Linked DNA regions of Oryctolagus cuniculus. The protein of the gene in region 1 binds, or shares a complex with, the protein of each later gene. Links are inferred from orthologs where the notes say so. Each region holds a gene or a part of one and is shown in the gene's direction. Other genes may lie near its edges.

Region 1 (3,619 bases):
AAGCCGTCCCTAACCATTGAGCCAGAGCTGGCCTCAGGCAGCTCGGCCCTGTGTGATTTCATTCATCACAGGCGCCAGAGTGTGGCCAGACAGACAACCACACCATCTCAGGTGCACTGCGTGATGAGCCCGTGTTTCTTTTCTTTTCTTTTTTTTTTTTAAAGATGTATTTATTTATTTATTTATTTGAAAGGCAAGACTTACAGAGAGCAGAGGCGGGGCGGGGGGGTGTGTCTTTCATCCACTGCTTCACTCCCCAGATGGCCGCGACAGCCAGAGCTGAGCCGATCCGAAAGCAGGAGCCAGGAGCTTCTTCTGGGTCTCCCACGTGGGTGCAGGGGCTCAAGGACCTGGGCCACCTTCTACTGCTTTCCCAGGTCATAGCAGAGAGCTGGATCAGAAGAGGAGCAGCCGGGACTCAAACCGGCCCCCATATGGGATGCCTGCACTGTAGGCGGCGGCTTTACCCGCTATGCCACAGCGCCGGCCTCAAGAGCCCATATTTCTTACGCGACTGTGGACAGGCCAGGTGGCTCCGCTGGTCTCAGCTGCTGTGGGGTCCACTGAGGGAGGCTGGGCTGGGCTGGACACCTCTGCCTTCACTGATGGCTTGAGCTGAGCTTGGCTCCTTGCTCCAGGGTTGGGCCCAGATCCGTGGCACACATTCAGGGGGACATCAGAACATTTGTGGAAAAATGGAATTAAAATCATCCATTTATTTTGGAATAAAAAATTCTTCTGGTGCCAAAAAACCTTTTTTTTTCTCCCACAGTATGTGGAAAATGCGCATTCTGAAAAAGCTATGCATGGGCTTCAATATGTTTTTGCACCAAAATAACTCATACTTTTCACTCCATTTTTCCATGAACTTTTTGAAGTCCCCATGCGTTCATGGTCAGGGGGGAGGCAGAATGAGGCAGCTGTTGACACCAGAAATATACCATTTGTGTTTTTTTTTTTCAGGTTTATTTATTTATATGAAAGGCAGAGGGGGAGAGAGGGAGAGAGGGAGAGAGAGAGAGAGAGAGAGAGAGAGAGAGAGAGGTTTCATCTGCTGATTGACTCCCCAGATGGCTGCAGTGGCCAGGGCTGGGCCAGGCTGAAGCCAGAAGCCAGGAGCGTCATCTAGAGCTCCCATGTGGGTGGCAGGAGCCCGGGCACTTGGGCCATCTCTCGCTGCTTGTCCCAGGCTCATTAGCAGGGAGCTAGATTGAAGTGGAGCAGCCGGGACACACACGGCAGCCATGTGGGATGTTGGCATGGCAGACGGCAGCTTCCCCGGCTCCGCCACAGCACCTGCCCCGTCACCAGTCATCTTAACCCAAACAGCTGCCTGTGACCAGCATCCGCTGACGTCTGTCCCTGCCCTGCCCTGCCCTGCCCCTAGGGAAACAGAATCCTGGCGAATCTCCCCACAGTCACTCCCAGTGGATTACAGCTGGCCCAGGAAGCCAACCCTGGCTCCTGGGCTGCTGCAGGTCTTGCTTAGGCCTCCCACCTGCAAGAATGCCTTTAGCAAGCCCTTGAAAAGCAGGCAACAGAAGCCCAGAGAAGTTAGGCTGCCTGAGGTCGCTGGGGCAGACAGCAGCCAAGGCGCGGATTGGAATTCTTGTCTGGCGCCGCCTAGCGGCGGCCCACCCACCCTACTCTCTGCCTCCCCACCCACCAGGCCAGGGGCAAGTGACCCTGGAGCTGAGACCACGCACTGGACACTCCGGGGTGACGCAGCCCCCGCCACTGGAGCCCTGCGTCTCTGAGCGCGGCAGGCACTATCAGGGGCGCCTGGCGGTCACCAAACAAGGGACCCCTTGCCTGGCCTGGAGCAGCCCGGAGGCCCAGGCTCTGAGCAGGGGCAAGAGCTTCAGCCCGCAAGTGCCGCTGGTGGAGAACTTCTGCCGCAACCCGGACGGGGACGAGGAGGGCGCGTGGTGCTACGTGGCCGGGAGGCCCAGCAGCTTCGAGTACTGCGGCCTCAACTACTGCGGTGAGTGGGCCGGCAGAGGTGGGCGTGGGGGGCGCAGGGCCTCTCCCCGTTTACAGACGAGTAAACTGAGGCCCCGGCGGTACCTGTGCTGTCGGCCTCCAAGGCCAGCAGGGGTGGGGGTGGGGGTGGGGGCAGTCTAGGGGACGCTCTGAAGAGTGGCCCAGCCCAGCCCAGCCCAGCGCCGACGGTGCCTGGGCCCCTGCAGAGGAGGCCATAGAAGAGGAGGTACTTGGGCTGGAAGAGGCCATCGAGGGGCGCACCACGGAGCAGGAGTTCCAGACCTTCTTCAACCAGGAGACCTTCGGCACCGGGGAGGCGGGTGAGACGAGGGCGGCCCTGGGGGGCGGTGCGGGGGCGGCGGGGCCGGGGCCTCACAGCCTGCCCTGCTCTGCAGACTGTGGGCTGCGTCCTCTCTTTGAGAAGAAGTCGTTGAAGGACGAAAGGGAGGAGGAGCTTCTGGAGTCCTACATCCACGGGCGCATCGTCGGGGGCCGCGACGCCCAGATCGGCAGCGCGCCCTGGTGCGTCCGCCTGCCCCGCCACCCGCCCCGCGCTGCCAGGGCCACGCACAGCCCTGGGAAGCCCTTTCCGCCCCCAGGCTCAGGGTTTACAGAAGCTCTGGGCGGGGCTGAGCCTGGTGCTTCTGCTGAGCAAACCTGGAGCCAGCTCTGTCCAGTTAGTTCCCTGCTCCCCGCTACTTAAAGGTTCGTTTATTCATTTGAGAGGCAGAGTTAGAGAGAGAGAGAGAGAGAGAGATTTTCCATTTTCGGATTCACTCCCCAAATGGTCTGCCGGGTCTCCCAGGCAGGTGCAGGGGCCCAAGAGCGTGGGCCATCTTCCGCTGCTTCTCCAGGCCACAAGCAGAGAGCTAGATGAGAAACGGAGCAGCTGGGACTCAAACTGGTGCCCAGATGGGCTGTGGGTGCTGAGGGAGCATCTTAACCCTCTGAGGGCCCTCCAGCTGGTTTTAGACTTATTTACCTGAGGCAGAGTTACAGTCAGAGATTCCCCAAATGGCTGCAATGGCCAGAGCTGGGCCCATCCGAAGCCAGGAGCTTCTTCCAGGTCTTCCATGCGGGTGCCGGGGCCCAAGCACTTGGGCCATCTTCCGCTGCTTTCCCAGGCCATCCGCAGGGAGCTGGATCCGAAGAGGAGCAGCTGGGTCTTGAACTGGTGCCCACATAGGATGTAGGCAGACTTAGCCCACTACGTCATGGCACCAGCCCGCCCCCCCCCCCCCAGCTAGTTCTTTATTTTATTTTATTTATTTGAGAGGTAGAGTTACAGACAGGGAGAGACAGAGAAAGATCTTCCATCCACTGGTCCACTCCCCAAATGGCCACAAGGGCCAGAGCTGGGCCAATCTGAAGGCAGGAGCCAGGAGCTTCCTCCGAATCTCCCATGCAGGTGCAGGGGCCCAGGGACTTGAGCCAACTTCTACTGCCTTCCCAGGCCATAGCAGAGAGCTGGATCAGAAGAGGAGCAGCCGGGACTCCAGCCAGCACCTGTATGGGATGAGGGCACCGCAGGCAGAGGCTTTAGCCTATTAACACCACGGTGCCCCTCCCCACCCCCCAGCTAGTTCTTAAGCCAGGGGCTTTCTACTTGCAGGGCTGGTGGAGGGCGGGTCCCCAG
Region 2 (2,800 bases), on another chromosome or scaffold:
ATGTGAGTCCAGGGACAAAGAAGGAATTCCACACGGAAAAACTGGTCACTTCGAAAGGAGACAAAGAGATGCTGATTAGTAACGAGAGGGCCACGTCTGGTAGCAGCAGTAGCACGTCCACCGTGCGTCGTTCTTGCTCCAAAACCATCACCAAGACTGTTACAGGTCCCGACGGCCACAAACAAGTGGTCAAAGAAGTGGTGCACTCTGAAGACGGCTCTGAGTGTCCCGAGGTGCCCGATCTAGACTCGATGCACTCTTTCATGTCCAGAGGCAGCCTGGATGACTTCTCCTTTAGGCACCCTGGCGAGGCATCTTTCTTTGACACTTCCTCCACAGGAAAAGCATCAACATTCCCAGGTTTACTTTCAACTTCTTTCAAAGAGTTTGGCAGTAAGAGCCAGTCTATGGGCTCTGAATCGGACTTCTTCACAGATGCGGAGGGAGCCGGTTCTCACCACACGAGCTTCCCTTCCAGTGGCAAGACCACAACTCATAGAAAACAGATAGTCACCAGCCACACAGCGTTCAACAGAGGAGGCTCCACCGTCGAGAGCAAAAGCTACAAAATGGCAGATGAGGCTGGAGGGGAAGCCGACCAGGAACTCAGACACACCCACACCAGCAGGAGAACCCATGCTAAAGTGCGCCCTTCCAGAGGTATCCACACTTCTCCTTCGGGGAAGCATTCTCTGACCCCCTAGACTAAGTTAATTACATCTGCAAAATGCTCCCACGGCACCCTGTACTTCTTTCTATTCCTCTTTATTGAAATTGCACTCTTTTTTGGGGGGAGTCTCTCTCTCATGTTAGACTGTAAGTTCCATGGGGGCAGGGACTTTGTCAACTCTCTTCATCTCTGTATTCCCAAATGCCTAACAGTGCAGACAGTCATCCCTCAATAAATACATGTGAAATGAAATGAATGAGTTCTTCTGCAACTCGATTTGAGTTTGTCTAACCAGATTCTTTCACCACTCAAAATGCGTGCTGTTCGAATTGCTATCCAATAGATTAACCATGCTTTCACTGCATGTATCAGCTGACATTTAGATAGGTAAATAACAAGTTGTATTAGTATTAAGTGATGCTTAGTCGCTTTTTCTGATCACTTGCTATTCGTCAGTATGCACAAGTAAAATTCCAAATCTATTTGGGGAAAATAATCTTAGATTTTGTAGGTGTCTGCTCCTCACTTGCACAAAATCCTATCCGAATGTAAATGCATCCTTTCCCCACAAGGGGATGGAAGAAAATCAGGAAGGAAGGAAGGAAAGGAGGGAGGGGAGTAGTATTTGTCCTCTTTAATCTGCGCCATGCCTATCTTTGTGAAGTTAAATGAGAGTAACTTCTTCCAACCAGCTTAATTTTTTTTTTAGACTGTGATGATGTCCTCCAAACACATCCTTCAGGTGCCCAAAGTGGTATTTTCAATATCAAGCTACCGGGATCCAGTAAGATTTTTTCTGTTTATTGCGATCAAGAGACCAGTCTGGGAGGATGGCTTTTGATCCAGCAAAGAATGGATGGATCACTGAATTTTAACCGGACCTGGCAAGACTACAAGAGAGGTTTCGGCAGCCTGAATGACAAGGGGGAAGGAGAATTCTGGCTAGGCAACGATCAGCTCCATCTCCTAACGCTGAGGGCCTCCGTCCTTAGGGTGGAGTTAGAAGACTGGGATGGGAGAGGCGCTTATGCAGAATATCACTTTCGGGTGGGCTCCGAGGCAGAAGGCTATGCCCTGCAGGTCTCCTCCTATGAGGGCACCGCCGGGGATGCTCTGATTGAAGGCTCCGTGGAGGAAGGAGCAGAGTACACGTCTCACAACAGCATGCAGTTCAGCACCTTTGACAGGGATGCAGACCACTGGGAAGAGAACTGTGCGGAAGTCTATGGAGGAGGCTGGTGGTACAACAACTGCCAAGCAGCCAATCTCAATGGCATCTACTACCCTGGGGGCCCCTATGACCCGAGGAACAACAGTCCCTACGAGATCGAGAACGGAGTGGTGTGGGTCCCGTTCCGAGGGGCAGACTACTCCCTCAGGGCTGTTCGCATGAAAATCAGACCTCTGAGGACCCCATAGACTGGACTGGTGGGAGCGGGAGCGCGCGGTTCTTTTGTTTGTTTAGCAAAGTGGAGGGAAAATAAGGAAGATGAGATTCTTCACAGCCTACTAAAAAACTCCCAGGTGCTATTTTATCATTCTTTGTACTGTAGCTAAATGTAACTGAGATATATTAGTGCTTTCCAAAATAAAATTACATGAGTTTTTTTAATCTTTAAATAGTTCCATGGGCCTTAACATTTTTATAAGGATATGCCAAGGGACTTTGGTTCACTCCATCAGGAAGGGGAGGCAGAGGGAGGCTCCTCTTTGCAACCCTGCAGGGTACTGCCAAGAAAACTGCTCTTTCCATAGCTCCCAATGTCACAGGACGGAGACCAAGTACAAAGTTCTTGCATTCATTAGACTTGAATAGTTTCAACCAACATTTTATGTTAAAACTCACCCTGTTGAACATTGCCTGGCCTCTGTTGAATCCACAAAGTGTGCTCATGTCTTCTGATAGAAAGCAAATCCAGGAAGGCAGGGGAAGCATTCTTTTTCCTACTAAAAATGGAAATCTATCCTCAGTCTTCCACTGGAGACCATGGTGCACACTTACATTTCGGGTTCTAACCAATGTCTTTCCAAAATGTAAGAGAAATGCACTGAAGATCTAAAGTGGGGTGGGCGTTTGGCACGATGGTTAGGATACTGCTTGGGACACCTGTGTAACATGTCAGAGGGCCT
Region 3 (4,075 bases), on another chromosome or scaffold:
AAAGACTGCAAAGACAGCGTGCCCGAAGCCCTGGGTTTGGTGTGTGGTCCTTTAAAAAGCATCACCAGACGAGGGCTGTTCTTTGTTGCTGCTTCTCGAAGGTGATGATTTCGCTTTTTTTCCTTTTCTTTCCTCTTTTCCCTTCCTTCCTCCCCTTCTTTCCTTTTAGAAACTTCACTGTCTTTAAAGACCCCAAGAATGTCCAGACCATTGAGGAACATCCTCTTAGTTTTTTAATTCCATTCTTTCTGTTTCTTTTTCTTTCTTGGACCAAACAGGAGAGGGAGGAGGCGGGGTAGGGGGGAGTGGGTGGGAGGGCGGGTGCGGTGGGAAGAGTTACTATGTCTCTAATGTTGTAAGTATGAGATACATACAAAATAAATACATAAAAAAGTGTTACTAAACACTCCCTCTTATCTCTGCTGGGGAAACATAGAGAACTCTTTGGGCTCCAAAGTCAGGGAGAAGGGAAAGGTGGGGTCTCGGCCGTTGGGAGGGACACGCCTCCCCCGGGAAGCACCCGGTCTGTGTTTTGCTCAGCCAGCTCCACACTGCGCCTGCGCCCACACGCAGCACCCTGCGGTGAGCGGAAGCCCAGCATGGGGCCTTGGGTCATGGAGCGAGGCTTCAGCCAGGCCCCTGTGCCAGCCGCTTGGGAGTCTTCTGAAGAGGCCAGGACAGAGTTGGAGACCCTCATTTCAAGGCAGGAAGGGTCAGTGCAGCCAAGAGCGCTGGCCTTGAAGTCAGCCCCCGGGCACCAAGCCTCTTTCTGCCACTAACACCATGTGTGACGCTGGATGTTTCCTTCTGCCCTGGCAGCCTCGGCGCAGGCGCTAGTGCACTCAGGGGGTTGGATTCTGTGATGACCCTTTGTCTCAGCTGGGTGGGGGGTGGGGGTGGGGGGCTCACGGAGACCCTCTCCTCCAATTGCCATGGTCTGTGATGCAGTAAGCCCAGCCCAGGCTCAAGCCACGCTCTCCCAATCTGCAGAAAAAGAATTGAGACTAGTGAAAGGGAAGGACTGGCCTGAGGGTGCCCCCTCCCCATTTCTGGAAGGCAGCAGCCAGTGGCCCGTGTAAACCACCCCCACCCCAGAGTGGCCATTCCATTCCAGGCAAGTGGTGATCAGTGTGGGGCTTGGGAGCATGTAAGAGGGGCCTGGTAACAGCCCCTGGCTCCTGCTGCTTTGCTTTCAACAGGAAGCCTGCTGGGACAGGACAGGGCGGGCCAGGCGGGGCCAGGCGGGGCCAGGCGGGGCCAGAGGAGGGGTGGAGACAGAGCCACCGTGGTCAGTCAGGTACAAAGGCTGGCTGTCTCCAGGCAGCCCTCTGCCCTCTGCTGTGTCCGACAGACCGCCACCTCCTTTTGTGCACGCTGGGCCTGCAGAGTAAGTATAGCTCCTGCTCCCGGGGGGCCCGTGGGAGGCACAGGAGTGCAGGGAGGGGCACAGGCAGCCTGGAGCATGGTGGGCTTACAATGCTCAAGAGCCCTGGGGGAGTGTCAGAGCAGCTGGAAGGGCCCCTGCAGGGTCAGGGGGCAAGCGGGGCTCTGAGGCAGCAGAGAGGGTCCCCCCACCCCCGCTCCAGGACCTCGGGCTCCACACTCAATGTGGCAGAGCCTCTGCATGGTGTGGCTCTCACCCCACCACAGCCGGCAGTGTCTGGAGACAGGTGGCCTGTCACCGCTGGACAAGGTAGGACAGGTACTAAGGGCTGGAGGCCAGGGACATCGCCAGACACCCCCCAGTGTACAGCAGGGCCCCGGAGAGGGAAGGATCTTGCTGCCTGTGCCCCCTGGGCCAAGGTCAGGGAGCCCTGAAATAAAGCAGCGGGAAGGTGTCTGCTAGACAGCCCTCAGTCAGTGGTGGCTCGTGCTATTTTCTGGGCCTAGAGACTCAGAAAAATTACCAGGAGAAATGGCCAAAGATAACTCCTTCCCCGAGATAAGGGCCCTGCCTGGGGGCTGCCCCCAGGGGCAGTCGTGGGGTGGCTCCAGGAGCCCTTAGGCGCTTTGTTAAGTAAACAAACAGAGAAAGGAAGTTAACAGCTCTGGATGGCCCCTTGGGCTAAAGCGGCAATCAAAGCAGAGGCTACCCTGGGCCAGGGCCCTGGGTCCCAGCTCAGGGAACCCCAGCCTGAGAGCCGGGGTGCGGGAGGTGCCGGCCACGTCTGGCATTGACTGTCGGGTGGCCTCATGGTGCGCACTCGTGTGCTTGCTGGGGCAGCTCATGAAATCAGCTCAGACCAGCAGAGAGGAAGCCCAGCACACGCTCTGCTCATGCTCAAGGTCACCCGCAGAGCTCAGCTGCGGGTGCCCAGCCTGGCTCTGGTGCCAGCACTCAGTGTCCAGCAGGCGTCCGCCACCTGCGGATTTCACAGGAGGAGCCAAGGTCCATTCATTCCTTCACCTGCTCACTCACTCACTCATTCGCCCCGCCTCGTCCATGATAGCAACAGCTCACTGCAGAGAGTGGGGTTGAGGCACTGGGAGAATTGGGCCTCAGGGCAGAGTGGGCCAGAGAGGCTGGGAGAGCCAGGTCACTGGGGCCTCAAGGGTCAGGGTCACAGTGGACCCCTGCAGTGGTGCACCTCAGTCTTCCTGCCTGTGAAATGGAGCTGCCTCCGTGGGAAAGGCGTGAGGCTGGAGGAGCAGAAATGTCAACACTGTGCGGTGCCCGACAGAGGTGCCGCCGCCACCATGGGCCTGGGCCTCCCGCACGGCGATGGCAGAGGCTGCTGGCTTGGTGCCGGGGGGCTGTGGCTCTGCAGGCACAGCCTCCTCCATCAGCCTCCTTCTCCAAGCTCAGCGTGCAGCGTGGAGGCCAGGAGTACTCAACGTGGCTCAGACAGACAGACCTGCAGCCCTGGTCTGCCCATCTCTCCCCGGCTCAGCAACCATTTCCCACGCCACTGCTGGGGGCCCCTTGGGCGTGGTTGGGGTCAGGTGACCGGCAGGCTGGCCCCGCTTGCCCTGGGCCTGCAGGGCCCGATAGGATGGTGCCCAGAGTGGGAGAGAACCCAGCAGGAGGGGACTCACTCCAGGAATGGAACGCAGCGGGGACAACCGCCTAGAAGCAGGCAGGCCATCCGCAGCTCGGCAATCGGCTGCCGGGGCTGCTTTCAGGTGCACAGGAGGGTACGTGTAGAAGGCGTGCACCCCACGCAAAGCAGATGAAATGGGGTCTCAGGCGAGGCCTTGGCCAGACGTGGCCCCACTGGCTCCTCATGCACTGGCACTTCTGCCAGCTTTTATCTATGGTGATCAGCTGAAGGCCACAGGTGCCCAGGGAGCCGGTCCTGATATCACTTCTGCCTTTCGGGTGGGAGTGGGGGCTCCAGTGTAACTGACCTGCCCCACATCACATGACCAGGCCGCAGTAGGGCTGAGATTGGCACCGGGTAGTGGGCTTTGCAGTGTGGGCTCTGCAAAGCCGTGGGGTAGACGAGGGACTTAGAACAGAAGCCAGACAGGGAAGCAGGAACAGGAGATGGCTCCAGGGTGGAGGAAGGGAGGGAGGAGGTGCTGAAGGCAGAAGGCAGGCAGAAAGAGCTAAGCTGACACAGGCCACCTGACGGCCCCCAGGGCCACGCGGAGAGCCTCCTCCTCTGGAAGATGGAAAGAGAAGATGGGCTGTGTCCTGGGGCACCAGAGACAACCCCCCCCCCCCCCCCCCCGCCGCCGCCTGAGCAGCAGAAATTCCTCTCTAGTGCTGGAGGCCAAGCCTGAGACCGAGGTGCCAGGGGGTCTCTGCAGGCCCCTCCGTGGTGGATAGATGCTGCCTTCTCCGTGTCCCACCGTGGTCCTGCTCTGCACCTGTCATGTCCACAGCCCCGTGCACCTGTGTGTCCTCACCTCTGCACCTGTGTGTCCTCACCTCTGCACCTGTCTGTGTCCTCACCTCTGCACCTGTGTGTCCTCACCTCCTCTGCACTTGTGTGTCCACAGCCCCTCTGCACCTGTGTGTCCTCACCTCTGCACCTATCTGCGTCCTCACCTCCCCTTCTATTATGAGGACATTGGTCTGGTCCCTCCCTAGTGGCCTTGTTTTGGCTCGATCACCTCTATCAAGGCTCTG
Region 4 (3,589 bases), on another chromosome or scaffold:
AACCCGGGAAGAACCAGTAGCAAACCCGGGGAGGGCCGAGCAGACAAAAGAACAGTGCAGGGTCCTGTGTCGTTCCTCCACGAAGAGGGGGAGCGACATAATGGTGCCGTGACTCGGATATGAAGCCTAGGCAGGGCTTAGTGTCGTTCCTCCATGAAGAGGGGGAGCGACATAATGGGGCCGTGACTCGGATATGAAGCCTAGGCAGGGTTTAGTGTCGCTCCTCCATGAAGAGGGGGAGCGACATAATGGTGCCGTGACTCGGATATGAAGCCTAGGCAGGGCTTAGTGTTGTTCCTCCATGAAGAGGGGGAGCGACACCCGGGCCCCCGCTTGCCAGAGGGGGGCCGCCTGCCTTCCCACATTCTGCTCAGTCACTTCCTGGCTGGCTGGTGCCGGGAGTCCCCGAGTGTGTGACCAGACCAGGGCTCCAAGGGCAGGAAACAGCCACGCCAGCCCCTCCCCCTCCAGTCCATTCCATCTCCCCCCCCCCCACCGCCCCGCTTGGCCCAGCCCTGACCACACAGGGGCCCCCCGGGTGGGCCGGGCAGCCCTGTGGGGTTGGGTATGGGCCCCAGGAAGGCACCCCACCCTGTGCCTCAGTTTACCATCTTCCCAGGGTGCATGAACTGTGCCCATCCGGTGCCCCGGTGCAGGGATGGGGGGCAGCTGGAGGAGGGAGGGGCCTGGTCCTTGCCTTTGGGAGTCACCCCCGGGGGACCCCAGGCTGGGGGTGAGCCAGGACCAGGAGCTGAGCGGCTGTGACAACCAGGGACAGACCGGCGCCTCCCAAGGGGGCACCGGCTGAGGTCCACTGAGACCCCAGGGCAGCGCCAGGGACCAAGATGCTCCCCCACACCCCCAGCTATTCCCACAAGACCCCAGGCTCACCAGGCACCTTGCACCTCTGCTGCTCTTCCCCAGGGGGAAGGTTCTGGGGCAGCCGGAGGGGACGGGGCCCCCTCAGAGGTCACAGGTGCTTGGGAGAGGCCCTCATCAGGCTGTGGACCTCTGACCCCGCAAAGCAGGCTCCTGCCCTGCCCCACAGGGAGAGGAGGAAGTGGGGATGGGAGGGGGGGCTTCAGGAAGGGCCAAGAGCCCCCGATGGCCACTCCCCCCGCCCTGCTGTGCCAGCAGGAAGTGAGCACTCAGGCCACAGACACATCCTGGGCTGGACAGGGGCCCAGAACAGGGGCTGTGGCTGGGGACCCCCTCCCGTCTTGCTGGTCGGGCTCTGCACTGGCCAGAGGCATCTCAGGTGCCCCATGGCCTGGAGCACCACCCCTCCTCCCCGCCGGGGCAGTGTACACTCGGGGCTCCCCCAGGGGGACCAGGGGCGCTCTAGTGGGCCTGTGGGGGCAGGGGCTGTGCCTCCCGGGTTTATCTCCCCGTGGGGACACTGCCTGTGCCTCCGCCCCGGCTCCGGAAGCTGGGGGCAGAGGGGTCAGGGGGGCAGGAAGCCCTGTGAAGGGGAGAGAGGCCGCAGCCCATAGCAGCCCTGGCCGCCCGCCCGCCCAGCAGCATGTGGCGGCTCCGGCTCCTGCTCCTCTGGGCGCTGATGCTGGGGCGCAGCCTGGGACGCAGCACCCAGGCCCCCAGTGACTACGACGAGACGGAAAACCCGACGGGTGATGAAGGTGAGTGAACCCAGCCTGGGCCGTGGTGGACTGCAGAGATGGAGCTGTGGGGGGGTGGGGGTGGGGCGTGTGGGGAGAGGGAGCTGGGGACCCCTCTGTGGTCCTGGGGGCTGGGCCATGTCCCCCGGGGGGACACTCCATCCCCTGCATCAGCCGGAGAGACCGCAGCTCCTAAGCGACCCCTGCCCCTACCCCTGATTGACAGTTGCATCCCTCTCTCTCTCTCTCTCTCTCTCTCTCTCCAGCAGGGGGTTCCACTGTCTCTCTCCTTCCAGCACGCCCCCGCAGCTTCCCTGGCCAGCCGTGCCTCAATGACAGCCACACGCTGCGGCTGTCCAACGGCTCTCAGCAGCTGCTGCTGGGCTGGGTGCCCACCCGGCTCGTGCCGGGCCTCTACGGACTGGTGCTGGTGGTGGGGCTGCCCGCCAACGGGCTGGCGCTGTGGGTGCTGGCCACGCGCGTGCCCCGCCTGCCCTCCACCCTGCTGCTCATGAACCTGGCGGCCGCCGACCTGCTGCTGGCCCTGGTGCTGCCACCCCGCCTCGCCTACCACCTGCGGGGCCAGCGCTGGCCCTTCGGCGAGGCCGCCTGCCGCGCCGCCACCGCCGCCCTCTACGGCCACATGTACGGCTCGCTGCTGCTGCTGGCCGCCGTCAGCCTGGACCGCTACCTGGCCCTGGTGCACCCGCTGCGGGCGCGGGCCCTGCGCGGCCAGCGCCTGGCCGCCGGGCTCTGCGCCGCCGCCTGGCTCTCGGCCGCCGCCCTGGCGGCGCCCCTGCTCATGCAGCGCCAGACCTTCCGGCTGGCCGGCTCGGACCGCGTGCTGTGCCACGACGTGCTGCCCCAGGACGCGCAGCTGGCCTACTGGCGGCCGGCCTTCACCTGCCTGGCGCTGCTCGGCTGCTTCCTGCCCCTGCTGGCCATGCTGCTGTGCCACGGGGCCACGCTGCGCACGCTGGCGGCCGGCGGGCAGCGCTACGGCCACGCGCTGCGGCTGACCGCGCTGGTGCTGGCCTCGGCCGTGGGCTTCTTCACGCCCAGCAACGTCCTGCTACTGCTGCACTACACGAACCCGCGCCACGGCGGCTGGGGCGACCTGTACGGCGCCTACGTGCCCAGCCTGGCGGTCAGCACGCTCAACAGCTGCGTGGACCCCTTCGTGTACTACTACGTCTCGGCCGAGTTCAGGGACAAGGTGCGCGAGGGGCTCTCCCGCCGGCCGCCAGGGGGCGCCACGGCCTCCAAGGCCTCGGGGGAGGGCGGCGGCCCGGCGGCCTCGGGCACTCGCTCCTCCTCCCTGCTGTGAGGGACGCCCCCCCCCCCACCGCTCGCCCCCACTCCACCCCCACCCCGTCAAGAGCGGGCGACAAGAGTACTGGGGGGGCCTCCCTCACAAATTCGCGCCCTTCCTGGAACCTTGGAAATGGAGCCATCCTGGAGCACCTGCTGACACCTGCTATGATTGACGTCTGCGTGAGGGGCGGAGCCAGAGACGCGAGGGGATGGGGTTAGAGGCGCGCGGGGCGGGGGCAAGGGGCGTGGCTAGAGGCGCAGGGGCGGGGAGAGACGCGATGGGCGGCGCACCGAAGCACAGGGGAGGAGCTAAAGGCGCCAGAGGCGGAGCTAGAGCCGAGAAGGGAAGCCGCTTGTGGACGCTGGTACAGGCTGGCGCGGTGCAGCCGCGAGCCGAGGCGCAGGAGAGGTTCCCCCGGAGGCCGGAGAGGGGCCCCCTGCCCACACCCTGCTTTGGGAGCCCCGGCCTCCAGGCCCGTGAAGCAATAAATGTCCTGTCCTCAGCGACCTGGTTTGAGGGACTCCATTACAGCGGCCCCAGGGCGTGGTGGGGGGGCGAGAAATCGACGAGGAATGAGATGCAGATGGGCTGGACACCACGCCCAGGTCCTCGCACTCAGCCTCTGGCTCCACCCCGCTCGTGGGGGCGGTCCGAGTGG
Region 5 (4,409 bases), on another chromosome or scaffold:
CAGGAGGAGACACTGGAGGTGTCCGTGATGGGGGACAGGGAGTCTCCGCAGGCTCTTGAGCGGGTGAATGTCACAGTCCCAGCCACAAATGATTCAGAGGGGGAAGTTGCTGGGTGGGGAAAAGGAAGCAGGCAGTCCAGAGAAGTAACTGGGGCCTCTACCAGGATGGGAGCAGTATAAGCGGAAAGTAGGCATAAAACGAAAGCGACGGTGTACAAACACTTTTAACAAGACGCTGTCTCATCCACCCCAGCTAATCAGATGAGATGCATGAGAAAAGCTGGGAGACTTTTTAACTGGCTGGTGGTGTGGCGACACCATTGACAAAGACTGAAGGATCAGGGAGGGGAGCTAACAGGAAGAGAACAAGGCAAGATGCGGTTTTTGGTAGAGTCACTTTGTTATCATGACGACTGATCGTTACGGCACCTAGACATTTATATTTGTTTTCAAGTCGAGAAACCTAACTATTGCATTGTCAAGACTCAGAACTAAGCACTGAAGTGTCGGCATTTCCTGTGAATCAGGGGTATTTCTCCCGCTAACCTACTTCATCACAGTTTGAAGTAAGGTTGGTTTCCGGGGAGGCAATGCAGGGGAACCAAGAATAGGGAGATTAGTAATAGCCCTAACACACATGGTAAGCTATCAATAGGAAATAGTAAGACTGACATTTTCCTCCGTAGGCAGGGAAGCTTTAGGGGGCAGAACAAAGACAATGGCCCTTCCCCTCCCTCTTTTGTTGCTTTTTCCTGCAGCTGTGTCCCTAGTAGTCAGAACATGGACCATAGATTTTCCACACACCCCCTTCTTGTCCTTAAACTTTCTTCAGATGTAACCAGATGACCCCTTGGGGAAAGCACATGGGCTCCTGGCTTGTTTCCCCTGCGTGTCAGGTGTGGAGCCTTGGTTCTCCCAGACAAAGAGATGCATAGGGCCGAAAAGCTCCTTGGGAATTGAGAACCTATGGGAACGGCCAAGAGAGGGGCAGCAAGGTAGCTCCCAGTGTTACTGGTCCCTAGCAGTATTGCATTATAGACATGGAGAAAGCATTGACTCCCGGTGCCAAAGCCATGGGTTAAACAAGGTTCTGCCTCAAACCAGGAGCTAGGAAAGGCCTTGGGTAATTGAGTTTAGGGTGGCAGGCCCCTCGCAAGGATGGGAGGGCTTGTGCGGAGGGAGGTGGGACCTCTGTGTTTGCTGTCAGCTCGTTTGGGAAGAAGTTGCATAATGCAGCCTCTGGCTCTTCTCCCTCCTCTCGGCCAAGCAAATGCTTCACCCGCCTTAGAGAAGATTTTAGATCAGAGGTAAAACAGTGAGCTGGCCCCAAAAAGGAGGAGCTTAAACCTGTGTGCAAAATCTGGGAAGCCGATTGGGCATAGGTGACGGCCAGGAGGAGACAAAGGGACAAGGGGACGGGAAGGATGTCCCCACCCTTCCGGGAAGGAGGCCCCGTGATCAGCTCCAGCCACTCGCCGTGTCACCCAGCCAGAGCCTGAGCTCACATAAAGGGACAGCCGGAGCCCCGGAGGCCACAGAGCTGACACTGCCGGGCTTGGAGCACCGGGCACCCAAGACATCATGAGTTGGTCCGTGCACCCGCGGAGTTTAATTCTCTATTTCTGTACTCTTTCACTGCTCTCTTCAACATGCCTGGCTGTAAGTGTGCTGTTCCCCACACAGGTGGTTTCAAGTGGAAAGCTGAGAGAATAAGATGATGTGTGATAAACCAGTGACACTTCTGTGTTTTTCTCCTTTAGTACGTGGCTACCAGAGAGAACTGCTGCATCTTAGACCAAAGATTCGTAAGTACTCAGCATGTTTCTCACTTGGGCGGAATGGCAGAGGGGTGGAGAAACAGAAACAGTTCTCTAAGTGCACTTGACAGTTTAAACTTCTTAAACGTGCGAGTGGATTTCACAACATTCACAGAAAATGGAATGAAAACATAGCAAGCATTTTTCCACAAACTTTTTGGAAACTCCTCCTTGTCTAGGCTTTACCTATTTTTATTTATAGAATTTGTTTAATCTTTTAATTAATTACTTTATTTGAAAGGGCAAGGGAGAAAGAGAGACAGACAGAGATCTGCCATCTGTTGGTTCACTCCCCATATGCCCACAATTGCTAGGGCTAAGCCCGGTGGAGACAGGAGCCAGGAATTCAATCAGGGTCTCCCACGTGGGTGGCAGGCACCCACCTACTTGAGACATCACTGCTGTTTCCCTGGACAGGAAGCAGGAATCAGAAACAGAGCTGGATCTCAAACCAAGCACTCTGATAACGGGATGCAGGCGGGCATCCCGAGTTGTGTTTCAAGCACTATGCCAAACGCCCACCCCATATCAATAGACTTGAAGTATAGCTTGTGTCAAGAGTTGTAATTATCTGATGGTTCTATTTTCAGGGTAGTTTTTGCCCAACCACCTGTGGCATTGCAGATTTTATGTATAATTTCCAATCCACTGTGCATGAAGATCTACAGACTTTGGAACACATGTTAAGTCAAATAGAAAACAGATCAACAGAAGCCAACGAACTGATCAAAGCAATCAAAGTCAGCTACGATACTGCTGAACCATCGGTACCAAGTGAGGACCTAAGGTCTTCTGAACGAGAAGATCATTTGTGAAGTTTTCTTGCTGGTGTTTCCAGTGTTCTGTTTGCTTACGTGGCTTTTTATGTTTCTCTTCTCACATTACAGATAAGATAGACAGTGCTACTCAGAAATCCAAGAAAATGGTGGAAGAAATAATGAAATATGAAGCACTGATTCTATCACACGAGTCAAGTATCCGGTAAGCATGTTTGTTTTAATTTGCCTTCCAAGACTGATTTAGTGTTTATTTAACAGCCCATGCTCCGGTGAGAGGAACACTTCCAGGTGTTTTTGTTGTCATTCATAACATCCGATGACAGTATGTGTGGCTATCTTGACCACCATGGAAGCAGGAGTCTTTAGTGCAAGATTGAACTGAGTATATCCTTTTTAAAAATCACACAGGAAAAAAGATGTTCTAGATGTCTTCAAATTTGCCATTATGACCGTATTTATCTCAATGCCTCCCTATTTGTCTTGCAATGTAAAATCAAACTCATGGGAATATGGATGTTAAAAAATCAAATTTGCTTTATAACAAGGACAAGCAATTGGTAGAAAATTAGCAAGTAGAAGTCTAAGCAGGGTCTTGGCTACTAAAGTACATGAGACTGAAGTGGGAAAAAAAATCCCGAGACTACGTTTAATATTGTAAAGCTTTGTATTGATCGTGACACAGAGAACCTGCGATTACACAGGCTGCTGCCTTCGCTTGGAAGTAAATGGTCTCTGCTCACAGCACCCCCCCCCCCCCCCGGAACTCAGGAGCTTTCGGAATATGGGCCCTTACACACAGCTTTAGTTTCTTCCCTACTTTTTTTTTTTTTTTTCCAAATAATTCTCAAAGCAACCTGAGAAATAGTGGCTGCAGAGAAATGATCCAGGGAGGCTCTCTCCTCCCTTTGGTATCAGAAAGTCATTGTTATTCTATTCTTGGGATTGCTATTTTCATTGCCATTTAATTAGTATTGCCCACCATTGCAGTTGAAGCAGAGTATTTTGCAGAAAGTAGCTGAATAACTTGTCTAAATTGTTCACAAGTTAAAGACAACAGTAGTCTGTGCATTGGAGTTTTCTGTCCTTTCTGCGTATTTACAAGCACCCCATGGGAGATCACAAAAGCAGGGGGTTTACTTCCTCCAGCCCTTTTCCCAAGTTATTAAGGAGAAACACTGGAAGAGAGGGAAAGTGGCTGGTGTTCTACCTGTGACCATGCCTCCCACACTCTTCCTGTGTCAGTTACAGATTGAAGTCTGTAAACAGAGCTTTAGTGGATCCACAGCTAAAAGCACATGGAAGTTACTAAACAGACCCTTTGCCACTTCTTAACTACCCCGGGTGCTCCCATCAGCCGGGCTTCTCACCAGCAAAAACCCAAAAGGATCGCTTCCAGGGACCTTTGTTTATTGACAAGGACTTTGTATTCAGAGTCCAGGTTACATGCTTGCTCCAGGTGAAAGATGCAAGTCAAAACTATATTTCTGCTGTAATTGATTGTGTGTGTGTTTGTGTGTGTGTGCACTTCTGTTTACAAAGAAGCATGGACTTTTAATTTACCCCAATTTAATGACAGAATTTTATAGCTGTCCTAAGAATAGAATTTGTCACGCAGTAATTCTTAAATAAATGATAGGATTTTGAAACAATACAAACATACTCCCCCAAAAGGAGTACTTTTCTTCTGGTGTCTTATTGTTCTGTTTGTAGATTTTTGCAGGAAATATATGACTCAAACAATCAAAAGATCATTAACCTGAAACAGAAGGTAACCCAGCTTGAAGCAAAGTGTCAAGAACCTTGCAAAGACACA
Region 6 (3,883 bases), on another chromosome or scaffold:
CAGAACTGCTGGGCAGCCTCCTTTGATAATCAGAGCATCCACACCAGCTTTCTCCTTGGTGGTTACATAATGAAGGAGAAAACAGGCCAATCTCAAGGCAATTTTTTTGCCTCTAATTATCCATATGATATTGGATGAAGAGATTTGACCAAATTCTGTGAGCTCATAAAGTGCGTATCAGCAAAACTTGTAGCTGGGTAGAATATTTTTGGTCACTGAAACACACTGTTTATACTCACAAGAGATGCTTGCTTTATTGCCTTTCTCAAACATTTTTTCCTTGCTTTAAAAGAGCATCTAAAACAAAGACCTAGAATAAGCAGGCTGGAATTTTTAAGATGACTTAAATCTTCTTTAGGTCTTGTAGTGACATTTAAACCTTGTTAAACCCAAGTGCAGGGCCTTGTGTAGCCACCCAGGTCCTGCTGTATAAGCTCAGGCTGACATAACAAACTCCCATTGTGCAGATGGATTAAACCACAAAAATCTATTTTCTCATGGTTCTGGAGGCTGGAAGTCCGAGACCAAGACATTGGCAGGTTTGGCGTCTTCTCAAGTCCCTCCCCCTGGCTTGCAGAGGGTGCCTCCACACAGTGTCCTCATATGGCTGTTTTCTCTGTGTGTCCATCCTGGTGTCTCTACGCCTTCTGATGTAGACACCAGTCCTATTGGAAGCACCCTTTGAACCTCATTTAACCTAATTACCTCCTTTACGGCCCTATCTCTAAGACACATTAGGGGTTGAAGCTTCTACATAATGAATTTTGAAAGGGACACCACCGGGCCTGTAACACCTATAGTTTGTGTTTAATGACCCTTGGGTGGAATGGTTTGCTCCGGAATCTGCAGGTGTTTCCTTTATAATGTCAAGCTCAAGTTGTTAATGCTTTTCAGGGGTTTGAGCTATTGCAGCAGAGGTGTGGTAGTTATGCCTCACACCTGCCCTCCTTCAAGGCCTTGTGTCTTTCCAGTGGAAGCCACCTTTGGTAGCTGTGGCAGAACAGGCATGTGTAAGACCCATGAGCCTCCAGAAGCTTGTAAGTCAGATGTCTCCATGAGATAAGTTGTCCAGAGTGTTCCAGTTTCTGGCACAAGGAACACCTCTAAATGATTTGTCAAAGAAGAAAGCACTGATAAAAATATTAAGGACTAAGCTAGGCCTTGATATACAGAAAGGGTTTGGATAAAAAGGGACAGGGGCCTTTATCAGCAAGGCAGATGGTATGAATAATAAAAAAAAAAAAAAAAACATTGAATAGGCATTGGGTGTTTATTGAGTGGCAATCACTTTCTAATAGCTGGAACATGTTTTATGTCAGTCCTCATAAAAACTCCATGAAGAGTAAGTACATCTATTGGAGAAGATAGTGCTTCTAAAGAACAAATGAGATGGCAAATATAAAGGGTCTGGCCCACGGCAGGTGTTCAGTACATGGTGACTGTTGAGCCCATTTTAATTCAGCCAGCCTATGGGGCAGGAATTAAGTGTATCCTCAAATACCTGCCTCTGAGGGTCCCTCTAGCTAACTACCTTGCTGGCCTCACATTAGGTGTATAACACATTTTCCTCTTCTTCCCATAGCTGCAATTCTAATTGCAAGATCATCACCTCCCTGGTTTATAGTAGACAGACCTTTTCTGTTTTTCATTCGACATAATCCGACAGGTAAGTAACTCTCCTGTTCCATTGTTCACTAGTTGTTAGTATTCAGAAACACGCGTTGCAGTTGCAGTTGATCTGACAGTATTGCCCTTAGTCCATTTCTCTTGTGTCAGTTTCACAAACACTTTCAATAATATAAACACCACAGTAGATAGGGAAATCAAGACTGTGTTTTTAGAATGTGATGGAAACTTTTGAAAGCTGACCAAATTCTGGGTATATTTTTAAGTTTCTAACATGCAAAGAGGTCAATGGGATATTTTGGACATCTGCTGGATTTTCCATGTTTTTATAAATGCAGTAAGGTTTGCAAGGAGCTACACATCTTTAACCTTTGCAAGCCCAAAGTGCCAATATGACCTGAGAATTGCTTGATCAATAGACCTTAGCTCTATGAGTTATGTGTTCATACTTGGCCCTGACCTCTAGTGTCATAATTAAAATGAACATAACAAGCATCCCTATGTCTTAATACAATAATGAAGTACATGACTTTCTTTTTAAAGTTTGACTTCTTGTTGGTAGAGAGCAGGCACTAAGAAATTATAGATTCTACTATTTTTTAAAAATCAGTTAGAGAAAACAGTTCCTCATCCTTCTATCTCATTGCATCTTTAATGTTCTAATTAGTGTGCTCAGAAGCCAAACAGTTCAGTGTGGCAGCTTCCAGGCCATGTGGCTGTTTAACTTTAAATTACCATGAAATATAATTAAAAATTCAGTTTCTTAGTAACACCAGCCACATTTCAAGCACTCAGTTGGGCACTTGTCACTTGGGGCTACCCTACTGGTCTGTGAAGCAAAGACAATTTCTATCATGCAGAAAGTTCTATTAGACAGTATTACCAAGTGATAGGTTAAACATAGCACCTCCCCCAACACAGACCAAATATAATGTCTTTCAACTTCTTGTAAAGATTATTCTTTTATATATTGTTTCCTTTTAATTCTGTAGGTGCTGTCTTATTCATGGGGCAAATAAACAAACCCTGAAGAGTATACAAACGAACCATTGCAAAGAGCAGACTACTTTGCTATGAAGAAAAGACTCCTTTCCTACATCTTTCATAGTTCTGTTAAATATTTTTGTACATTACTTTCTTTTTCAAAACTAGTTCTTAGCAACAGACTCAGTGATGCAAGCAATTCTGTTCTGGGAGGTATTAGAAGGGTAAAAGGGCAGACGGATGGAACACTGTACTGAGAGTGAATAGAAAGGCTTCGACATGTCTAGAAGATTCTTTAAACTACTGAATGGTTACCTAGGTTAACAAACCCTCCTGAGTGTTTGCTGTCTGTTCAGTTCAGGATTTTTGTTTTTGTTTCTGTTTATTTGTGTGGCTTTTCAAAAGAAATGTAATCAGTGTGACAGGAAAAAAATGAGGACATTTTATGGTAGCTTTTACTTTTTTATGGAAATAAATATTTGCCTTTTTAATTCTCTTTCCCCACCTCCATCCAAAGTCTTGATAGCAAGCATTATTTTGGGGGTAGAAATAGCAAAATCTCTAGCCTCTCTGTGTTTTTGTTGTTGCTGCTGTTGTTGTTTTATATAATGCATGTATTCACTAAAATAAAGTTTTAAAAAACTAATGTCTTGCCACACAAGATTTGCTGTTGTGCAGTGTGCCTGTCACTACTGGTCTGTACTCTTTGGATCTGCATTTTTGTATTTTGTACAAAGTAAAAATAAAGTGTTATGGGTAGAAAAAGAAGCCATTTCTCTGCTATTTTGAAAGCATAGCAAAAAAAAAATTGAGCCTTTTAAAAATATGTCAACCTCTTGTAATAAGCCTTTGTGCTTAGGCAAACAGCAGGAAACTTGAAGCCCCTGGACTTTGCTTATCTTTTCTCTCTAAACCTGACAATCAAACACTATTCCCAGATTCAACACTTCTCAGTTTATAGATCATTTCGAGGAATAATTATTATAGACATCCTCATTCAAACCTTAATTGCCGTTCACTCAAGCAATGGCTAAGTATTCTCAGCAAAGATGGGGATTTTTGTAGCAAGTGCTGAGTGTTTACTGAGTGTTATAAATCTAAGGGAACAGTGAATGCTTCATTTTTGTTGATAGAGTTGAGAGTTTTTTTGACATAACAAACATTTTGGTCTTTTGGGATAACTTCCCAAGTTGAATTCAAGCACTCATCTCTTACCAAATTTAAAAATTTATTTTCTTTTTAGCTCATGAACTCTACTTGTTGCTCTTTTTTC
Region 7 (4,303 bases), on another chromosome or scaffold:
GGGGAGCCTTGGGCAGGGGCGCAGGGACCACTTACCGGCCAGAGGGAACTGCCTCCTCTCACCTGGGGTTAGCTCTCGGCTCAGGACGTTGTCGTGTTTGTGTGCAAACTCCGCCAGCAGCAGGCACCCGGGGGCCCGCACTCCTGGGTGACGGCGACACAGAGCAGAGCCAGCGAGCACAATGAGCGGCACCGGGCTCCCGCAGGACGCTGCCCTCCCAGGAACCCAGGGGACTTCAGTTCTCGGAACGCGGAGTTAAACGCCGCCTGTTCTGCTCTTCCCAGCACACAGCTGCGGAGCGAGCGAGCGCCCTGGTCCCAGCTCCACCTGGGGGAGTGCTGCTGCCGAGGCGCGGCCCGGGGGGCTGGCATGGCGGCAGAGCCACTGGAGACACCACAGTTCCCCCACGGGCCCCCAAGAGCACGCGGGCTCCCCGGGGCTTCCTAGTATGGGGACAGAACGGGAAGGAGAAGGCGTCACCCACAGACCACACACGGGGCCAGAAAGTGCTGGGAAAATGCCTCTCGGAACCTGCCAGTAGTCCATGGATCGACGGCTTAATGAACTTGACCAAACTTTAGGCCCAACTTACATCCGTATGCGTCTAAAAATCTGCACAATGTGGCTGCGGTGGACAAGCAGGGTGCACATCACTTCACGTTAGAAGATTAAAGAGTGACACTAAAGAAAGTAGCCAACCCGTGTGAGGGGCGGCGCTGTGGTGTAGCGGGTAAAGCCACCGCTTGCAGTGCCGCATCGCACATGGGCGCCAGTTCGAGTCCTGGCTGCTCCACTTCCCATCCAGCTCTCTGCTATGGGCTGGGAAGGCAGTAGAAGATGGCCCACGGCCTTGGGCTCCTGTGCCCACGCGGGAGACCTGGAAGAAACTCCTGGCTCCTGGCTTCTCTCTGGCCCAGCCCTGCTATGGTGGCCATTTGGGGACTGAACCAGCAGATGGACGCTCTCACGCTCTCTGCCTTTCTAATAAAATTAAAATCAATAAGAAGGAATTGTTGAAACACCATAACCAATAGAACAATAGATGAGCCGACGGGCGGCACGCTCGGGAGCACCGTGTCCACTTCGCCGCGTGCAGCCCTGCACACACGGCGCTGCTGCGGAACCGGAGCCGCGTCTGCGCCAGCAACCCGCGGTCTGGGTCCCCAGGGCCGCGCGCGTCAAGGGCGCCGGAGCGGGCCGGGGGTTGGGTCCGGAGGCAGCGGCCGGTCTCGGTAGGTGGCGACCCAGGGCGAGCGGCAGGCGCGCGCCGCGCGGAGGCAGAGGAGTGCGCCCCCCGCGGCTCCCTGGACCCCCGCCCGTGCGCCCGCGGTAGCCCCGCCCCAGGCCCCGCCCCCAGCGTCTCCCCCGCCCTCTGGGCCCCGCGCCCGCCCCCGGCTCCGCCCCTCCAGCTCCGCCAGTGCCCGCGCGCCCGCAGACCCGGGAGAGCGGCCGCGACTCGGGACAATGGGGCCGCGGCGGCTGCTGCTGGTCGCCGCCGGCCTCAGCCTGTGCTGGCCTCTGCTGAGCGCCCGCGCCCCACACCGCGACCCAGGTGAGCGGCGGGAGCGGGTCGGACCCTGAGTCCAGCCCCGAGGGTGCCCGGCCGGTCCCCGGGGCCGCAGTGCGCCCCGGAAGCCCCCGGCGCGTGGCTGAGGCCGGAGCCCTGCGCGCGGTGCCCGCGGACGTGGCTGGGGGGGGGGGCGCAGGGTGGGGCAGGGGCGTCCCGCAGCTGGAACGCCTCGCCCGCCGGTCAGGCCGCCTGCCCAGGTCAATAGGGCAGACGGCTTGCTCGGCCGCGCTCCGGAGCTGCGGGCAGGGCGTCCAGCCGGTCACGCCCGCGCGCTGTGACAGACGCGGGAGCCGTCGGGGCCCGGGTCGGGTGGGGACGACGTGGGTGGGGGGCGCCCCACTCTCGCCGTGTACACTTGGCCTTTGGGGCGTCCCAGGACCGCAGCCCGGCGCGGCCGTCGGGGAGCCCGCAGGCTGGTGGAGACGCGGTGGGCAAGATCGGGGCCCCTGACCGGGTCCTGCCACGTCCCCTGCTTCCTTCCGTGAGACGGACAGCGCAGAAAGGGACTGGCCGGCGTCCGCGGGGCCTGGAGCCTCGCAGGGAGTGGGGGGTGGGGGCGGCAGGAGGGAGGCTGAGGGCAAAGTGGCCGGCTGTCTGCTCTCTCCAGCCTGGCGCCACCCGCTCCCTCTGGAATCGCCTGGTTAAGGCGGGGACTCGGTTCCTCCTGCCGGTTCTGAAAGCTGGGCTCGGCTCGGAGCAGACGCCAGGTTCTGTCCGGCAGTCCCGAGTGCCGGTGCCCACTGGCTAGCCCCGCCCAGGAGTGCCCTGCTGAGAGCTGGTTCCTCAGCTTTCCTGGGGCGCCCTGGCACCGCCCATTCTGCTCTGCGTGTGCGGGGTGCCTCTGCCTGTCACTCTGGGGGGTGACCGGGAGAACCCCCCGGGATCTGGTCCCTGGTGCATGCATGGCTGTGCCGCTGAGGTTCAGCGCGGCGTTTCCCACCTGCTCCTGCTTTGTGGCTTCTTCCCCGCTGCCTGTCTCCCACTCACTCCCACCTGCAGCCCTGCAGTGGAGACCTGGCGCTGTGGCCGTGCTCTTTCTGGGGTGAACTCGGCTGGGCCCCCTCCCGCCCCACCCCGTGACCCGGAGACCCCCTGAGCCGGGTGACGAGGCGGCGTCTGCGGGTGCTGCAGAAGGAGCTCCCTGAGAAGTGAGCGAGGTTCCTGTCACTTTCATGACGATGCGTCTGTAACTTTAGGAGGCGTGTGCCGCGACCCCTGGTTCAGTGACAGGCTGGAGACCCGGCGCTGGGGTCCCGAGGCGGTTTTCGGTTTTCCCTTGTGCAAACCACGAGTGAGAACTGGAAGCCATGGAGTTGCTGCGCAGGTAGCGAGGGCACCACGGCCCTCACCCAGGAGTTGCCCTGCGTGCTCTCCCGGAACATCCTACACAGTCTGCGTTCCTGCTGTCGCTGTAGCTGATTCCATAACCCCTGCCAAGTCGCCCCCGGGGTTCACAGCCGTGCCGCGGCAGCAGAACCCCGGCTCCCGGCTTTGGGAGGAAGCCGCCCCAGGGCTGCTCCTGGTGGGTCGCTCGGGTCGGGGGCCGCAGCAGGACAGGGAGGGGTGCGGGGCCCAGCGTGGGACCTGTGGGAACGGAGGTTCCCGGGAGGCAGCCGACCCCCTGCACTGAGCATCGAGCTTCGGTTCTGCCTGGCGTCTCGTAAGAAACAGGCAGAGAGAGACAGAGACTGATAAGACAGAGAGAGAGAGAGAGAGAGATCTTCCATCTGCTGGCCGCAGCAGCCAGGGCTGAGCCAGGCCAAAGCCGAGATCCAGGAGCGCCATCCTGGTCTGCGGCTGCTGGAGCCGTCACTGCGGGCTTCTCGGCGTTAGCAGGAGTGGGGTCAGGTCAGAGCAGCCAGGACTGGCAGCCCGCAGCCGGACCCCGGCAGGCAGAGGCCCCGCCCCCTGCGCCACAGCGCGGCCCCCGGCGGCCTCCTGTGACCCTGCGGCCAGCGTGACCCTCTGTGCCCCTGCGGCGCTGCTCGTCCACTCGCTGCTCTTGAACCTGACCCTCTCTCGAACGGCATGACCTGAAGTCACTAGGGGACGGGGCCCTCCCACGTCCCACACTGCAGCGTCTGGGCTCGAGTCCCGGCTCCACTGCCGACCCAGCCCCCTGCTCATGCACCCTGCGCCGTGGGGGAGACCTGGAGAGGAGCTGTCTGCTCTCGTTCAAGTTGAACCCTAGCTCTGCTGCTGTTGAAGACGTGGCTGCACCCCTGGGTCCTGTGCGCTTTGCTGGGAACCTGGGAACCTTTGTGGGAACCTGGGCCTGGCCCTGGGCCTCTGCTCATTCCCCCAGCTTGAGCCACACAGGGCAGCACGGAGTCCTGCCGGCTGGCGGCTGGGGGAGGCCGCCGTGGACTCGCTCCCAGGGTCAGGCGGGAGAGGCATGGCCCAAGAGGGCGCCCTGTGGTCGTCCAGTCCCGCAGCCCCGTGTCGTCCAGTCCCGGGGCCCCGTGTGGTCGTCCAGTCCCGCGGCCCCATGTGGTCATCCAGTCCCGCGGCCCCGAGGTGCTTGGAGAAGCCGGGAGGCTGCAGCAGGGCAGGTCGGCTGACTTGAGGACCCGCACTGCTCTTTCTGCAGAGTAACAGCCAAAGCACAATGACTCACTGGGCACGGGCCCCTGACCGCAGCTCTTGACCCCTGAGCCGGGGGGGGGGGAGGGCAGCGACTCCCACGGAAACCTCAGCCCGAGAGGCCGGCTGGGGGCGGTTCTAGTCGCCTTG

What was found.
Region 2: the proteins of F2 (region 1) and FGA are in contact, whole or in part, in a crystal structure (PDB 2A45), measured with the Homo sapiens proteins. The link is inferred for Oryctolagus cuniculus from reciprocal best matches to the Homo sapiens genes F2 and FGA. Residues at the interface, in NP_000497.1 of Homo sapiens: Phe382, Lys384, Ser385, Gln387, Leu423, Arg425, Tyr434, Glu439, Lys440, Ile441, Ser442, Met443, Lys470; in NP_000499.1 of Homo sapiens: Trp52, Pro53, Phe54, Cys55, Ser56, Asp57, Glu58.
Region 3: the proteins of F2 (region 1) and plasma serine protease inhibitor are in contact, whole or in part, in a crystal structure (PDB 3B9F), measured with the Homo sapiens proteins. The link is inferred for Oryctolagus cuniculus from reciprocal best matches to the Homo sapiens genes F2 and SERPINA5. Residues at the interface, in NP_000497.1 of Homo sapiens: Arg383, Pro386, Glu388, Leu389, Leu390, Cys391, His406, Cys407, Tyr410, Pro412, Trp413, Asp414, Lys415, Trp455, Glu457, Asn458, Leu459, Asn506, Arg541, Ile542, Asp562, Ala563, Cys564, Glu565, Gly566, Asp567, Val588, Ser589, Trp590, Gly591; in NP_000615.3 of Homo sapiens: Gln241, Lys295, Lys296, Arg297, Thr368, Ile369, Phe370, Thr371, Phe372, Arg373, Ser374, Ala375, Arg376, Leu377, Asn378.
Region 4: the proteins of F2 (region 1) and F2RL3 are in contact, whole or in part, in a crystal structure (PDB 2PV9), measured with the Mus musculus proteins. The link is inferred for Oryctolagus cuniculus from reciprocal best matches to the Homo sapiens genes F2 and F2RL3. Residues at the interface, in NP_034298.1 of Mus musculus: Glu385, Leu386, Leu387, Cys388, His403, Tyr407, Trp410, Asp411, Arg428, Arg453, Glu454, Asn455, Leu456, Trp501, Gly502, Asn503, Trp508, Thr510, Gln516, Arg538, Ile539, Asp559, Ala560, Cys561, Glu562, Gly563, Asp564, Val585, Ser586, Trp587; in NP_032001.2 of Mus musculus: Asp54, Lys55, Pro56, Asn57, Pro58, Arg59, Gly60, Tyr61, Pro62, Gly63, Lys64, Cys66, Asn68, Asp69, Ser70.
Region 5: the proteins of F2 (region 1) and FGG are in contact, whole or in part, in a crystal structure (PDB 2HWL), measured with the Homo sapiens proteins. The link is inferred for Oryctolagus cuniculus from reciprocal best matches to the Homo sapiens genes F2 and FGG. Residues at the interface, in NP_000497.1 of Homo sapiens: His450, Pro451, Arg452, Arg461, Arg486, Ala489, Ala490, Leu493, Ile530, Val531, Glu532, Arg533, Cys536, Asp546, Asn547, Met548, Phe549, Cys550, His605, Phe607, Arg608, Leu609, Lys610, Lys611, Trp612, Lys615; in NP_068656.2 of Homo sapiens: Pro439, Ala440, Glu441, Thr442, Glu443, Tyr444, Asp445, Ser446, Leu447, Tyr448.
Region 6: the proteins of F2 (region 1) and SERPINE2 are in contact, whole or in part, in a crystal structure (PDB 4DY7), measured with the Homo sapiens proteins. The link is inferred for Oryctolagus cuniculus from reciprocal best matches to the Homo sapiens genes F2 and SERPINE2. Residues at the interface, in NP_000497.1 of Homo sapiens: His406, Tyr410, Pro412, Trp413, Trp455, Arg456, Glu457, Asn458, Leu459, Glu509, Thr510, Ile542, Asp562, Ala563, Cys564, Glu565, Trp590, Gly591, Glu592, Gly593, Cys594; in NP_006207.1 of Homo sapiens: Val225, Arg288, Ser355, Ala356, Thr358, Thr359, Ala360, Leu362, Ile363, Ala364, Arg365, Ser366, Ser367.
Region 7: the proteins of F2 (region 1) and F2R are in contact, whole or in part, in a crystal structure (PDB 3LU9), measured with the Homo sapiens proteins. The link is inferred for Oryctolagus cuniculus from reciprocal best matches to the Homo sapiens genes F2 and F2R. Residues at the interface, in NP_000497.1 of Homo sapiens: Phe382, Arg383, Pro386, Gln387, Glu388, Leu389, Leu390, Cys391, His406, Cys407, Tyr410, Trp413, Lys415, Leu423, Arg425, Arg431, Thr432, Arg433, Tyr434, Ile441, Met443, Glu457, Asn458, Leu459, Asn506, Thr510, Lys517, Gly518, Gln519, Arg541; in NP_001983.2 of Homo sapiens: Ala33, Thr34, Asn35, Thr37, Leu38, Asp39, Pro40, Arg41, Ser42, Phe43, Leu44, Leu45, Arg46, Asn47, Pro48, Asp50, Lys51, Tyr52, Glu53, Pro54, Phe55, Trp56.

What each region holds. Positions count from the first base shown.
Region 1 is NC_091432.1:19,212,996-19,216,614, reverse strand, and holds part of F2 (prothrombin), read left to right. Parts: intron 1-1,669; coding exon 1,670-1,984; intron 1,985-2,189; coding exon 2,190-2,303; intron 2,304-2,378; coding exon 2,379-2,505; intron 2,506-3,619. UniProt on the Homo sapiens protein: Thrombin, which cleaves bonds after Arg and Lys, converts fibrinogen to fibrin and activates factors V, VII, VIII, XIII, and, in complex with thrombomodulin, protein C. Functions in blood homeostasis, inflammation and wound healing.
Region 2 is NC_091439.1:11,081,382-11,084,181, reverse strand, and holds the end of FGA (fibrinogen alpha chain), read left to right. Parts: coding exon 1-660; intron 661-1,379; coding exon 1,380-2,089; 3' UTR 2,090-2,290; downstream 2,291-2,800. UniProt on the Homo sapiens protein: Cleaved by the protease thrombin to yield monomers which, together with fibrinogen beta (FGB) and fibrinogen gamma (FGG), polymerize to form an insoluble fibrin matrix. Fibrin has a major function in hemostasis as one of the primary components of blood clots.
Region 3 is NC_091451.1:39,381,730-39,385,804, forward strand, and holds the start of plasma serine protease inhibitor, read left to right. Parts: upstream 1-1,248; 5' UTR 1,249-1,387; intron 1,388-4,075. UniProt on the Homo sapiens protein: Heparin-dependent serine protease inhibitor acting in body fluids and secretions. Inactivates serine proteases by binding irreversibly to their serine activation site. Involved in the regulation of intravascular and extravascular proteolytic activities.
Region 4 is NC_091447.1:65,131,175-65,134,763, forward strand, and holds F2RL3 (proteinase-activated receptor 4), read left to right. Parts: upstream 1-1,408; 5' UTR 1,409-1,522; coding exon 1,523-1,637; intron 1,638-1,882; coding exon 1,883-2,943; 3' UTR 2,944-3,078; downstream 3,079-3,589. UniProt on the Homo sapiens protein: Receptor for activated thrombin or trypsin coupled to G proteins that stimulate phosphoinositide hydrolysis. May play a role in platelets activation.
Region 5 is NC_091439.1:11,111,606-11,116,014, reverse strand, and holds the start of FGG (fibrinogen gamma chain), read left to right. Parts: upstream 1-1,499; 5' UTR 1,500-1,581; coding exon 1,582-1,659; intron 1,660-1,760; coding exon 1,761-1,805; intron 1,806-2,407; coding exon 2,408-2,591; intron 2,592-2,704; coding exon 2,705-2,798; intron 2,799-4,306; coding exon 4,307-4,409. UniProt on the Homo sapiens protein: Together with fibrinogen alpha (FGA) and fibrinogen beta (FGB), polymerizes to form an insoluble fibrin matrix. Has a major function in hemostasis as one of the primary components of blood clots.
Region 6 is NC_091434.1:15,252,144-15,256,026, forward strand, and holds the end of SERPINE2 (glia-derived nexin), read left to right. Parts: intron 1-1,582; coding exon 1,583-1,666; intron 1,667-2,618; coding exon 2,619-2,656; 3' UTR 2,657-3,378; downstream 3,379-3,883. UniProt on the Homo sapiens protein: Serine protease inhibitor with activity toward thrombin, trypsin, and urokinase. Promotes neurite extension by inhibiting thrombin. Binds heparin.
Region 7 is NC_091445.1:1,175,183-1,179,485, forward strand, and holds the start of F2R (proteinase-activated receptor 1), read left to right. Parts: upstream 1-1,392; 5' UTR 1,393-1,464; coding exon 1,465-1,552; intron 1,553-4,303. UniProt on the Homo sapiens protein: High affinity receptor that binds the activated thrombin, leading to calcium release from intracellular stores.